Neodiprion lecontei: one gene and its partner. Each later gene encodes a partner of the first gene's protein in a complex. Links are inferred from orthologs where the notes say so. Each region holds a gene or a part of one and is shown in the gene's direction. Other genes may lie near its edges.

The links.
Region 2: the proteins of GRB10-interacting GYF protein 2 (region 1) and eukaryotic translation initiation factor 4E type 2 are in contact, whole or in part, in a crystal structure (PDB 5NVM), measured with the Homo sapiens proteins. The link is inferred for Neodiprion lecontei from reciprocal best matches to the Homo sapiens genes GIGYF2 and EIF4E2. Residues at the interface, in NP_001096616.1 of Homo sapiens: Leu38, Ala39, Asp40, Tyr41, Arg42, Tyr43, Gly44, Arg45, Met48, Leu49, Leu51, Phe52, Leu53, Asn56, Lys57, Ile58, Pro59, Asp61, Leu62, Asp64, Glu66, Phe67, Pro69, Ile70, Leu71, Gln72; in NP_004837.1 of Homo sapiens: His54, Pro55, Leu56, Gln57, Tyr64, Arg66, Asn81, Lys83, Gln84, Ile85, Gly86, Thr87, Val91, Glu92, Phe94, Trp95, Arg96, Phe97, Ser99, His100, Met101, Val102, Leu107, Phe113, Glu149, Asn150, Leu153, Leu156, Gly157, Glu158.

What each region holds. Positions count from the first base shown.
Region 1 is NC_060263.1:40,978,678-40,983,549, reverse strand, and holds the start of GRB10-interacting GYF protein 2, read left to right. Parts: upstream 1-1,850; 5' UTR 1,851-2,035; intron 2,036-2,707; 5' UTR 2,708-2,720; coding exon 2,721-2,752; intron 2,753-3,554; coding exon 3,555-3,786; coding exon of another isoform or gene 3,787-3,795; intron 3,796-4,872. Other genes in the region: transcription initiation factor TFIID subunit 10, read left to right, coding at 516-635, 701-765, 856-1,057. UniProt on the Homo sapiens protein: Key component of the 4EHP-GYF2 complex, a multiprotein complex that acts as a repressor of translation initiation. In the 4EHP-GYF2 complex, acts as a factor that bridges EIF4E2 to ZFP36/TTP, linking translation repression with mRNA decay.
Region 2 is NC_060260.1:3,932,748-3,937,885, forward strand, and holds eukaryotic translation initiation factor 4E type 2, read left to right. Parts: upstream 1-2,175; 5' UTR 2,176-2,300; coding exon 2,301-2,320; intron 2,321-2,694; coding exon 2,695-2,770; intron 2,771-2,865; coding exon 2,866-3,108; intron 3,109-3,283; coding exon 3,284-3,436; intron 3,437-3,553; coding exon 3,554-3,690; intron 3,691-3,776; coding exon 3,777-3,813; 3' UTR 3,814-4,498; downstream 4,499-5,138. UniProt on the Homo sapiens protein: Recognizes and binds the 7-methylguanosine-containing mRNA cap during an early step in the initiation. Acts as a repressor of translation initiation.

The sequences.
Region 1 (4,872 bases):
GGGGCCTTCCAACCACTAATTCCAACTAAGATGTGACAAATCTTATCTAAGGATTCGTCGAACAACTCTTATTTTCATATATTCACTACGGATAAGTAATTATTTTGTGCTTGAGTCATCGGTAATGTCTTCATTCCCCCGATCGGTAATGTCGTGGTCGTCTGTTAAAGTGCTAAGTGCAGAAGTGCTTCCAGAGATTCGAGATGCGTTGATCTGCCGCCAACTTCACTCACTACCCACGAGCGACACTCAGTGTCGCCAATTTAGTGATTTTGTCGTTAGTCTGGAGTTTTCGAAGGTTTCTCTCTGCTTATTGTACTGCCAGAGAGAGGGATTGCAATATTTATTTACATCTAAATTAACCTTTTTCATCTATCCACGATAATCTTACCCTCTAGAAATAATTTCATGCTACTAAAGCCACAACTTGTAACCGTTTTTACGAGAAATCGAAACATCGTTCGTTACTAGAGAAATTGCAGCGGCTCAGATTTAACGAAATCTGAATTACGGAAATGGCAGAAGGTTACGGACGAGACACACCTCCGATATATTCGGGAACTAACGAAGAACCTCGATCAGCTGGGCAACCTTTATCCGATTTTCTACTGCAACTTGAAGATTATACTCCGACTGTACGTAAGTCGCTCTATGATATTGGAAGAAGTTATATCTTTGTAAAACAAGCAGTTTATTTCAGGTTCCAGATGCGATCAGTGCTCACTATCTCCATACAGCTGGTTTCAACACGACTGATCCAAGAATGTAAGAGTAAAACGAGAATTATTCGATAGATATTTTATTATTTATTGGTTTGTAATTGCTCATGGAACAATTCTATTCTCCTTGTTTTAGTGTCAGGTTAGTTTCGTTAGCAGCTCAAAAGTTCATCTCTGAAATAGCTAACGATGCGTTACAGCACTGTAAGACGAGAGGAGCAAATCAAAATACTAAGACGAAAGGAAAGGATCGCCGCTACACGTTAACAATGGAAGACCTGACACCAGCTGTTGCTGAATATGGCATAGTGGTCAAGAAGCCGCACTACTTTGTCTGATTTATAATAATGAGTCCCTTTATCAGAGAGAAACTTAATTCTATACTGTATCTGAATGACTTCTCAAAGGTGTGGATTTCTAAAAAAATTCTTTCATGCAGTTTGCTTAAGCTCAAATGATTCACTCTTAAATAGCCGGTTGCACAGATCTGGAAAAAAGAACGTTTTATTGTTACTATTCTTTGTAACGACTTAAAATCCCTTTGAATAAACTGTCTTAAAATATAAGAGTCTCTTTCTTACCCTTTAGACACAATTGCAAAGAGAAATTAATTACCATTCAGATTTATAGTACTACAAATCGATACGATGAAAATAATAGCTGTTTTCGATTTCAAAACATAATCCGTAAATCTGTCGGTATCAGTTGAAACTTTCTTAAATTTTTCCTAATTTTTACAGCCAGCTTTAACCATATATGGCTTTAATCAGGAGTCGGTTAAGTCAAAGAGTCGGAACGGTAAAATAACTTGGTCGGTTGAAATGAATGTCTGTGTTGGAAAGTAATATATCAGACCGATATTTTCGTCACAGTTGTAACGTACATTAGGACATAAGTAAGTGGAAGGATTAAAATTGATGATATAATCTGTCAAAAAAAAATTGATAAACAAACCGGAGTCGGGTTGAAATGAGTTCCTATGTCTGGGTTTATTTTACTTGCCACATTTCGAAAACAAAAGAGTTGAAGAACTCGGTAACGACTCGGTATTCAAAGGTCAGCCAATCTGCAGTTTTTTCTTCAAAACTTCCGTTTAGGCAAATAAAAGGTACTTTTTAAAAGCAGGAAGCAAAAGATCTTCCGAGGTCTTCCACTTTCGTACAAGTGGCGCCTTGTACGGGGATTTGGGTTTGGCTTTAAATCTCTGATCACGTGACAAAAAACACTACGCATGCGTTCAGCGTTCTATCTCAAAAAACCCATCGGCCATATTGGTGTGTTGTTTCATTCGCCCAATAATTCCGAACCCCAATAAGGTATTTCAATAATTTATATAGCAAACTAGACGCTACTGGCAGTGAAATATTGCAACAAAAGCATTGGTGACAAACTTTTATCAAAGAATATGATGATCCGGTGGCATATCGTGATTTCTACAATCGAAAAAAGTTTGGTTAATATTGCCACCTTGGCTGCTGTGGGATACTACATGCATACATACCTACGTAGATTCTGCTCCGTCAAAAAATATGTCGTAAATAAACGGGAAGAATATTTCTGTTTTCGCGTCTTTCGATTCTGGTATTCGTTCCTTTCCGCGCAACGATATCGCAGTTTCATTTCCCGCTGCTCGACACTTTCGTGACGCTAATTTCGGCTCCTCTACGTTCTCCAGTCTGTTGCATCTATTGTATATTCTAGGTATATTCTAAATCATCTGTTTCGTGTTCTAATTCATCAATCCTTTCAAACGCGAAATCATCCCTATACGCGAATTACTCGAGCTTTAACCGCGTTATCGAATGTCCAGGGTGTAAGTAAAACAGAAATTGAATAAAAATTCTCAAAACGTGAAGTAACAGTTAAATATTATATTTTTAAAATCCGGATAAAGACTGTTATTTATTATTTACTATTGTATTTTTTCTTTGCTGACCGTTTGTGCCAAACAAATACATGTATTCATGCTACTTTATTTAATTTTTCAGCTAACTTTGCGAGATGACGGAATCAATGAGATTTGGTCCAGAGTGGTAAGTTATTCCCTAAAAAAATTTCGCTGGCGTTATGATTTGGCAGCAGATTTTATCATTCAGAATCTAAATTTTCATTAAAATTTTGAGATACTATCATTTATACAATTTTAAGAAATAAATCCTGCAAACAGATTCTTTGGCATTTAAAAAATTTTGATAATCTTGTGATTGGTATTTGATTAATCTAAGTGAAAAATTTCATTTTGAAGCGATGGTTTTATAACTATAAATGAATCTTTCTTTCACCATTGTCTGACATTTGCTTTCATTTATATGATGATTTTTAGATAACACTATACTTTGTCATTATTGAAAAGCCGAAAGTAAAGGTATTTACTCATCATAAAAAGATAGTGCATTTCACACTTGACATTTTTACTATGCAAAGTCAGTTAGAGACCTGAAAAGTACTTTAAAACCCACTTCCACTAAAAACTAATAAAGCATAAAAAATTCATAAGATACTCTGAAATTTTTAAATATTTACAATCAAAATTTTTGTGTACCATGAAAGACAACACGATCAAGTCAAAAAGTATATTCTGTCATTTGCGTAACAAAACGAGTTTCTTTTTTTCTTTAATCTTTTAGTCGCATCATTACGAACAACTGAATCTGAAAAATAATAAATAAAGTAGCTAAAGGATTAAAAGAGGAAGAAAGAATTGAATCTCGCACAATTTTATAATATATGTAGCGCATAAGTTATAGTTATCAATGTCTGCATGGTGAGCTATTCTCTGTTTCCCTGTTTTTTCCTTTCCTCACATCTCTCTGACAAAACTTTGCCGTTGTACAGGTTGCGCAACTTGTCAGGAGACGGTTGCAATACCAGCGGAGGAGGGGGAGGGCCTAGTATCCTGACCACCCCTCGTTACCAGCTAGCTGAGCATAGATACGGTCGAGAAGAGATGTTAGCTCTGTTTGACCGGAATTATAAAGCACCCGAACCACTCGCTTCTTTTCCTGCCCTCTACATTATACAAGCTCAACAACCGCTGGCACTCACACCAATGACAGAAGAAGAGGCGGTAAATGTGGTTGTTATTACTATCATCATATTTTTGATAATTTCTGCTCATTCCGCACATATACCTAACTTATTTCCTGCTCATCTTTTCTGTCCCAATGACTCGTTTCCTGTTAGAATCTCTTCTCGAAATTGAGAATCAGAAATGAAAAAAAAGTAAACACTAAGGTTACACACCATGCCAATGCATCTCATTGCAATATGCTTACTAGGAATATTTGCTTTGCTATCATTTTTGAAAATCTATCTTCGTTGTGTTGTGTCTTTTGGAATGTACAAGTACAACTTGAATCGGTCTGATGGTTATAACTTTAGAAAAAATTTTACAAGTAAGCAACTAAACTTTACGGGTAAATAGTAGAATCTTCGTGTAACTTTAACTTATGTTTCATTCAAAGCAAAACCTGGATTCATTATAATAAATAAAAGTAGATCTATTAACTTTTTTCATTACAGAAAAATGGTGATAATTATGGAAAATGTATATACATATATATGCGCACATTTTCCATATTTATCAACATGTTTCTGCAATGCAAAAAGTCAATATATCTACTAAATATATATACACCCACGCACACACACACACACACACACACATCATATACTATGAAATATTGCTGTGCTTGTGGAAAATTTGATAAAATCATTTACAGAAAACATCGAAATGACTTGTTAAAAAAAAAAAAAAAAAATAACAACAATGATACATGGCGTTAAATGGTAAGAAATGTAATGTTCAATGAGATTGAATTTGGTAAAAAGAATTCTTCTAATGCATATAATGATGTGTGACGTAATATTTAACATTCCATTTGCATATATATACGATGCTAAATATTTTCAAACTCGATATGACCTTGAACTTTGAATCACGGTATTTGTATTTGAGCAAACAAAATGTAGGTTGGATAAAATTGAAATTACGATTTTATGGATACTGCTACATGGCTTGGAAGATGTAAGAATATTTTTATTTCGAATAGATCGATATTTGACTAAAATGTAAGAAGAGATAGAATGCGATTCAATATGTGCACATACATATATTTTCGTATCGTCTTGTATTAGTGTCGTATCTTATATT
Region 2 (5,138 bases), on another chromosome or scaffold:
CTGTTTCTAATCTTTTGCTACATTTGGTTTAATCACCATGCTTCCACAGTACGAACAGTCGGAAATGTTTTTGATTATCCATTATAAAATAGAAGAAGTAACAAAGCTGAAAGTTTATTGTTGAAGCTTTAATGAATACATCAAACTGCGGTCGAATTCATTTATTATTTGCACATGACCTGTGTATATTTGATAAATTATTCCTAAATACATTGAAACATATGTATTTATAATGAAATATCTTGCAATGGGCTGTGTAAACTATAAACTATAATTTCTATCGAATAGCTGCTCTTATGTCAACAGGGCTTTGAGACTCAGTTAAGTTGGATCTAGATTTTTGCCATCGTATGTAGGACATTGGGTTACAAGAACAAATGCGAATTACGAACAACTCCGTATTAGGGAGAAGGATATTTTAGTTCAAGTATACCTATACACAGAAATCCGTATGTGAATATACTAAAACCTCTGTGTTTATTGTAAAAATCTAGTTTTAAACATGTGTATATTAGAGTGTCCCAAAAAAACCGACTATTTTTTTTTTTTCAAAGAACATTTAAAAATCGTCAGAGTATCTCTAGAAAATGACCGTGTGAAAATATAAGCTCTTAATATTAATATTTAGAGGTGGCGATTTGTAATTTTCTATTTCCCATTTAAATAACATGGGAAAATTTTTTTTTGAAATTTGGAATTTTGTGATGGGATAACGAGCTACTTCATAAGTATGACAAAATCAGGTCTTATAGGAAATTTGATGCTCTACAAAAAAGATCTGATTGACATTTTGCGTAAATCCAGCCGTTTCAAAAATATCGAGCCTCAAACTTCGGACTGTTTAAAATTATGCTTTTTTTTTCGTAAATATAACAAAAATTAATTTTTATGTATTATAAACCCAGAATTATCAACTGAACAATAAATATATGCATATATTTGACGGAATGCAGATCCGAAATTATTCGGTTTTTTTGGGACACTCTAGTGCATATATGTATATACACATACATATGTATATATGTGTATATATATATATACACATGTATATGTACACATATACATATATACACATACATGTACATAAATAATTACCAAGAAATTAGAAACACTCACAACTTGTCGCAAATAGATTAATACGTAAGGTTAATAATATACAAACTACACAAACGCACCATAAAACGTGGCAAGGGTAATCCTAGTGCAGTGATTGTATAAACTGAAGAAATATACATTTACATATAAATGATATAAATTAATAGACTAGAAAAGAGTATTTAGAGAGCTTATCTAATTCCGATCTTGTCACAATAGATCATTAACATAATCAATATACGGTTAAAGCTGTATTAGCTACATTCATAATTAGAGATAATATTTTTTATCCATTTTTATAGTTATTTAATTTCTTGTACAACAATTTTTCAAACTTCACCGCAAAATGCCCAACGAGTTCTCGTAGTACAAATACGAGTCCAATTACCTTACAGATGGCATTACATTGATTTTTGCCTTCTCGCGTCGAGTTATAAATACAGAGAAATCTCAATGAGAGCTCATTTCTATAAGATTTATTGCAGTGCTATATTCGTAGCTGTACCTGTTATTCTATATTATACATATACTGTCCTTAATTTTAAACACACAGCACAACAATGGCCGAAAGCACAATGGCAAGAAGAGAGGAGCAATCTGCATCTTAATAAATCTTTTCTTCTTTATACGTAGCACAGCGACGTCACGTCGGAGGATATTTACTAGTGGAGCACTAGGTGGGGCACAGAACTGAAACATAATTATGTTGAAAATCTTCAGCATCTTTTACAGAAAGTAGGTACGTTGCCAGACCTTATATACCAACATTTAAATATTTCAATCATCCATATCGACAGTGATGTTTGATTCTGTACCGATCCGATTACCCTCAATAGAATAGTTTACTCAAACGAAAGTTACAGCTTCCGATGCCCGATCGGAAAATCTTATTACATATTTCCTACTTGATATAATTTTTTTTTGGCTAGTTTTCTCTACAGGAATGAGAAATTAATTATAGATTTGAAATGCGAGCTACAGGGCATCCAACATGTTAAAAATGAATGAAAAAATCAGCCTTAGCCAACTGCACTTATACCTATCTATGTTGCAAATCGTATGAAACTGCTGCCAATATAGGAAAATAAAAATACATAAAGAGAAGTGATACAAGAAGCTTTTATATTTTTAATCATACGTTTTTAAGCGTATTGTTTATAGTATTTTAATCATATTATATATATATTTATACCACCACTCTAACCATGTCCAACAAATTTGACGCGTAAGTAGGATAACCGTACCGATCATCTTTATACGTGTATTCCATAATCCCATAACCATATGCAAACTAGGGGTTATGTTTTGTGTTTCCAATTCTGACTGAAGATCACCGTCCATCGCAGTTATCATGTGATTCTTTTCCAAAAAATTATTAGGATCGATTTTTCAAAACCCTTCCAAATTGGGAAGATCAACAAACAAGCTGAACACAATTGTCGCTTCTAAAATCCTTCCCGCTTTACAAATATACCACTCTCGCTATAAAAATTTATCCACACGTTTGAATAATCGGTGCTCAAGAAAACCAATGTGACAACGTTTTGAGACTAAATCGAGTAACTAGACATACTGATCGATCGTGTGCTGTTCTTTCAGCTTGAAGACAAGCGACGACAGCGGTGATGACGATTCGCAGTCCAGAGATAGTCAGCGAGCTGAAAAAGACACATTGGTATTCAGTTTTGGGAATGAACGTCATACCTTAGTAACAATCGTCAGACTCGCAGTTATGTTCTTTACAATTGCTTAACTTAACAATTGTTACAGCCCCCCATAGAGATAAGTCCAAACGAGCACAAACTCCAGTACGCATATTGCCTCTGGTATAGCAGACGGAACCCTGGGAAACAGACAAATATCCAAAGTTATGACCAGAATTTAAAGCTCGTTGGGAGGTTTGCTAGTGTAGAACAATTCTGGGGCCTCTACAGCCACTTAGTCAGACCTTCGGAACTCACTACGCACACAGATTTTCATTTATTCAAAGCAGGAATTAAACCGATGTGGGAGGTACGTGTAAATCCTGGAGAAAACTTTGAAAATGTTGAAAATGACGGAATGTGAAATAATTCAAGTCAATGTCTAAACCCTCAGTGACATCAGATCCCAGGTTGAGAAAATCTTTAGAATCTTTGCGCAAACGAATCCGAAGGAACCGATTAATAATTATTTATTTTTTCCAAAGGATGAAGCTAATCAAAGAGGAGGAAAATGGATTGTCAGGTTAAGAAAAGGTTTAGTTTCGCGCTGTTGGGAAAATCTTGTGATGGCAATGTTAGGTGAGCAATTTATGGTTGGCGAGGAAATATGTGGCGCAGTCGTATCTATACGATTTCAGGTGAGATATTAGTATTGTAACATTTGTTAAAAGAAACATCACCAGCCAAATATTAATTGCATGAGACAAAATGTTTGTTATACTGCTTACTATTTTCATTTTTCTGTTTTTTTTCAGGAGGATATAATCTGCGTGTGGAACAAAACTGCATCGGATGCCGCAACTACAGCTAGAATTAGAGATACGTTGAGGCGTGTGTTATATCTTCCTGCCAGTGCCTCTATGGAATACAAGACTCACAACGATAGCCTCAAGTAAATATTTTGGAATTTTAATGGTAATTTATTTCACTGATTCTCTTACCATATGTTTACTCAATTATATTTTTTTTTAATTTCAGGCACCTTAATATGATACCGCAACACCAACATCACTGACTGACGATATCCTAACTTGTCGTTTGTTAAAGATTATTGTGCTATAGTGGGGCGTGATATTCGAAAGCCTTGAAATTAAAACACTTTCTAAAGGCATATAGTTGCAGTTAGTTCTGCTATGTCCACCTGTGACGATGATCTCAACCTACGACTAGAGAAAAGTTCTGGAGTACAAAGAAAAGCAATTGTAATATTTAGCAGTTTTTTCTACAATCCATCTACGTACCCTACTTCTCCAACAGCTGACTTTTCATCGGTAAACCGAGCAATGCGAGTGGCGCAAAACAGTTTGTTGCAAAAAAAAGTTATGCCAAGAGGTACGACTATTAACTACCAATTCGTTGAATCCGTTTATTGAGTACGCAATGGGATTATATTTTTATATGACAATTTACTTTAAGATTTACGATCAATCGAATTTTACACATTTCAAGCAATCACCACATCTCCCAAGTGTAATATTTTCCACAATCTGCGAAAATTTGAGAAAAATTCCTTTCCGATTTTTACTACTAAATTGTCCTAGTTAATATCCTTCGTTAAGTTTAATCATAATACTCAACATTCTAAATCACTTGCTGATACAATTTATTTAGGAAGATCCACATGCTAAGGAGCTCAAGTCATTGTAGTTAGTATTCTTTACTGTATTGTTAATAAATATTGAAATCAACTTCCGTGCTAATACTACAGAAAGTTTTTATTATGGCTTTGATTGTTCAATAGCGTGTAGCATATTTATCATCTACATGAAGTGGCAAATAACAGTTAGGATGACAGTAATACGATTACTATTTCTTACTCTAAGGAATAATATATCGCTAGGTTGCCGATTTTCGACCGCTTCTTAAGTAGGAAATGCAAAGTCAAGGTGGTCAGTATCGCGCAAGCTAAGTATATATGGTATAATATGCTGCTGTTATTATTAAGATGATGTTTTTAAAGATTTTGGAAGATCAAGTAAATGTTTATTATTCGATTGGTACGTACCTGTATTATACGTTCCCCCCCCCCATTTTTTGTAATAAAAACCAATGTGTAAAAGTATTTTTTATTTCATTTTTTTTTTCTATCTTGATGTTACCAGGATGATTTTGTAAATGGTTTCAATTGCAATTAATGTTATTAATCACGCCCTACAAAGCACATATTCCGTTTTTCGAAAAAGTAGACAAAAACTGTCTGCCCCATTTCATGTTAAATATAATAGTGGCATGTAAAAAACAATTCGGAAAGCGAACTTACTGATGTGAATATATGAACACAAATCAACCAATGCAGCAGAATGCATCTACTACATAGATAAACAGACGAAAGGAAACAAT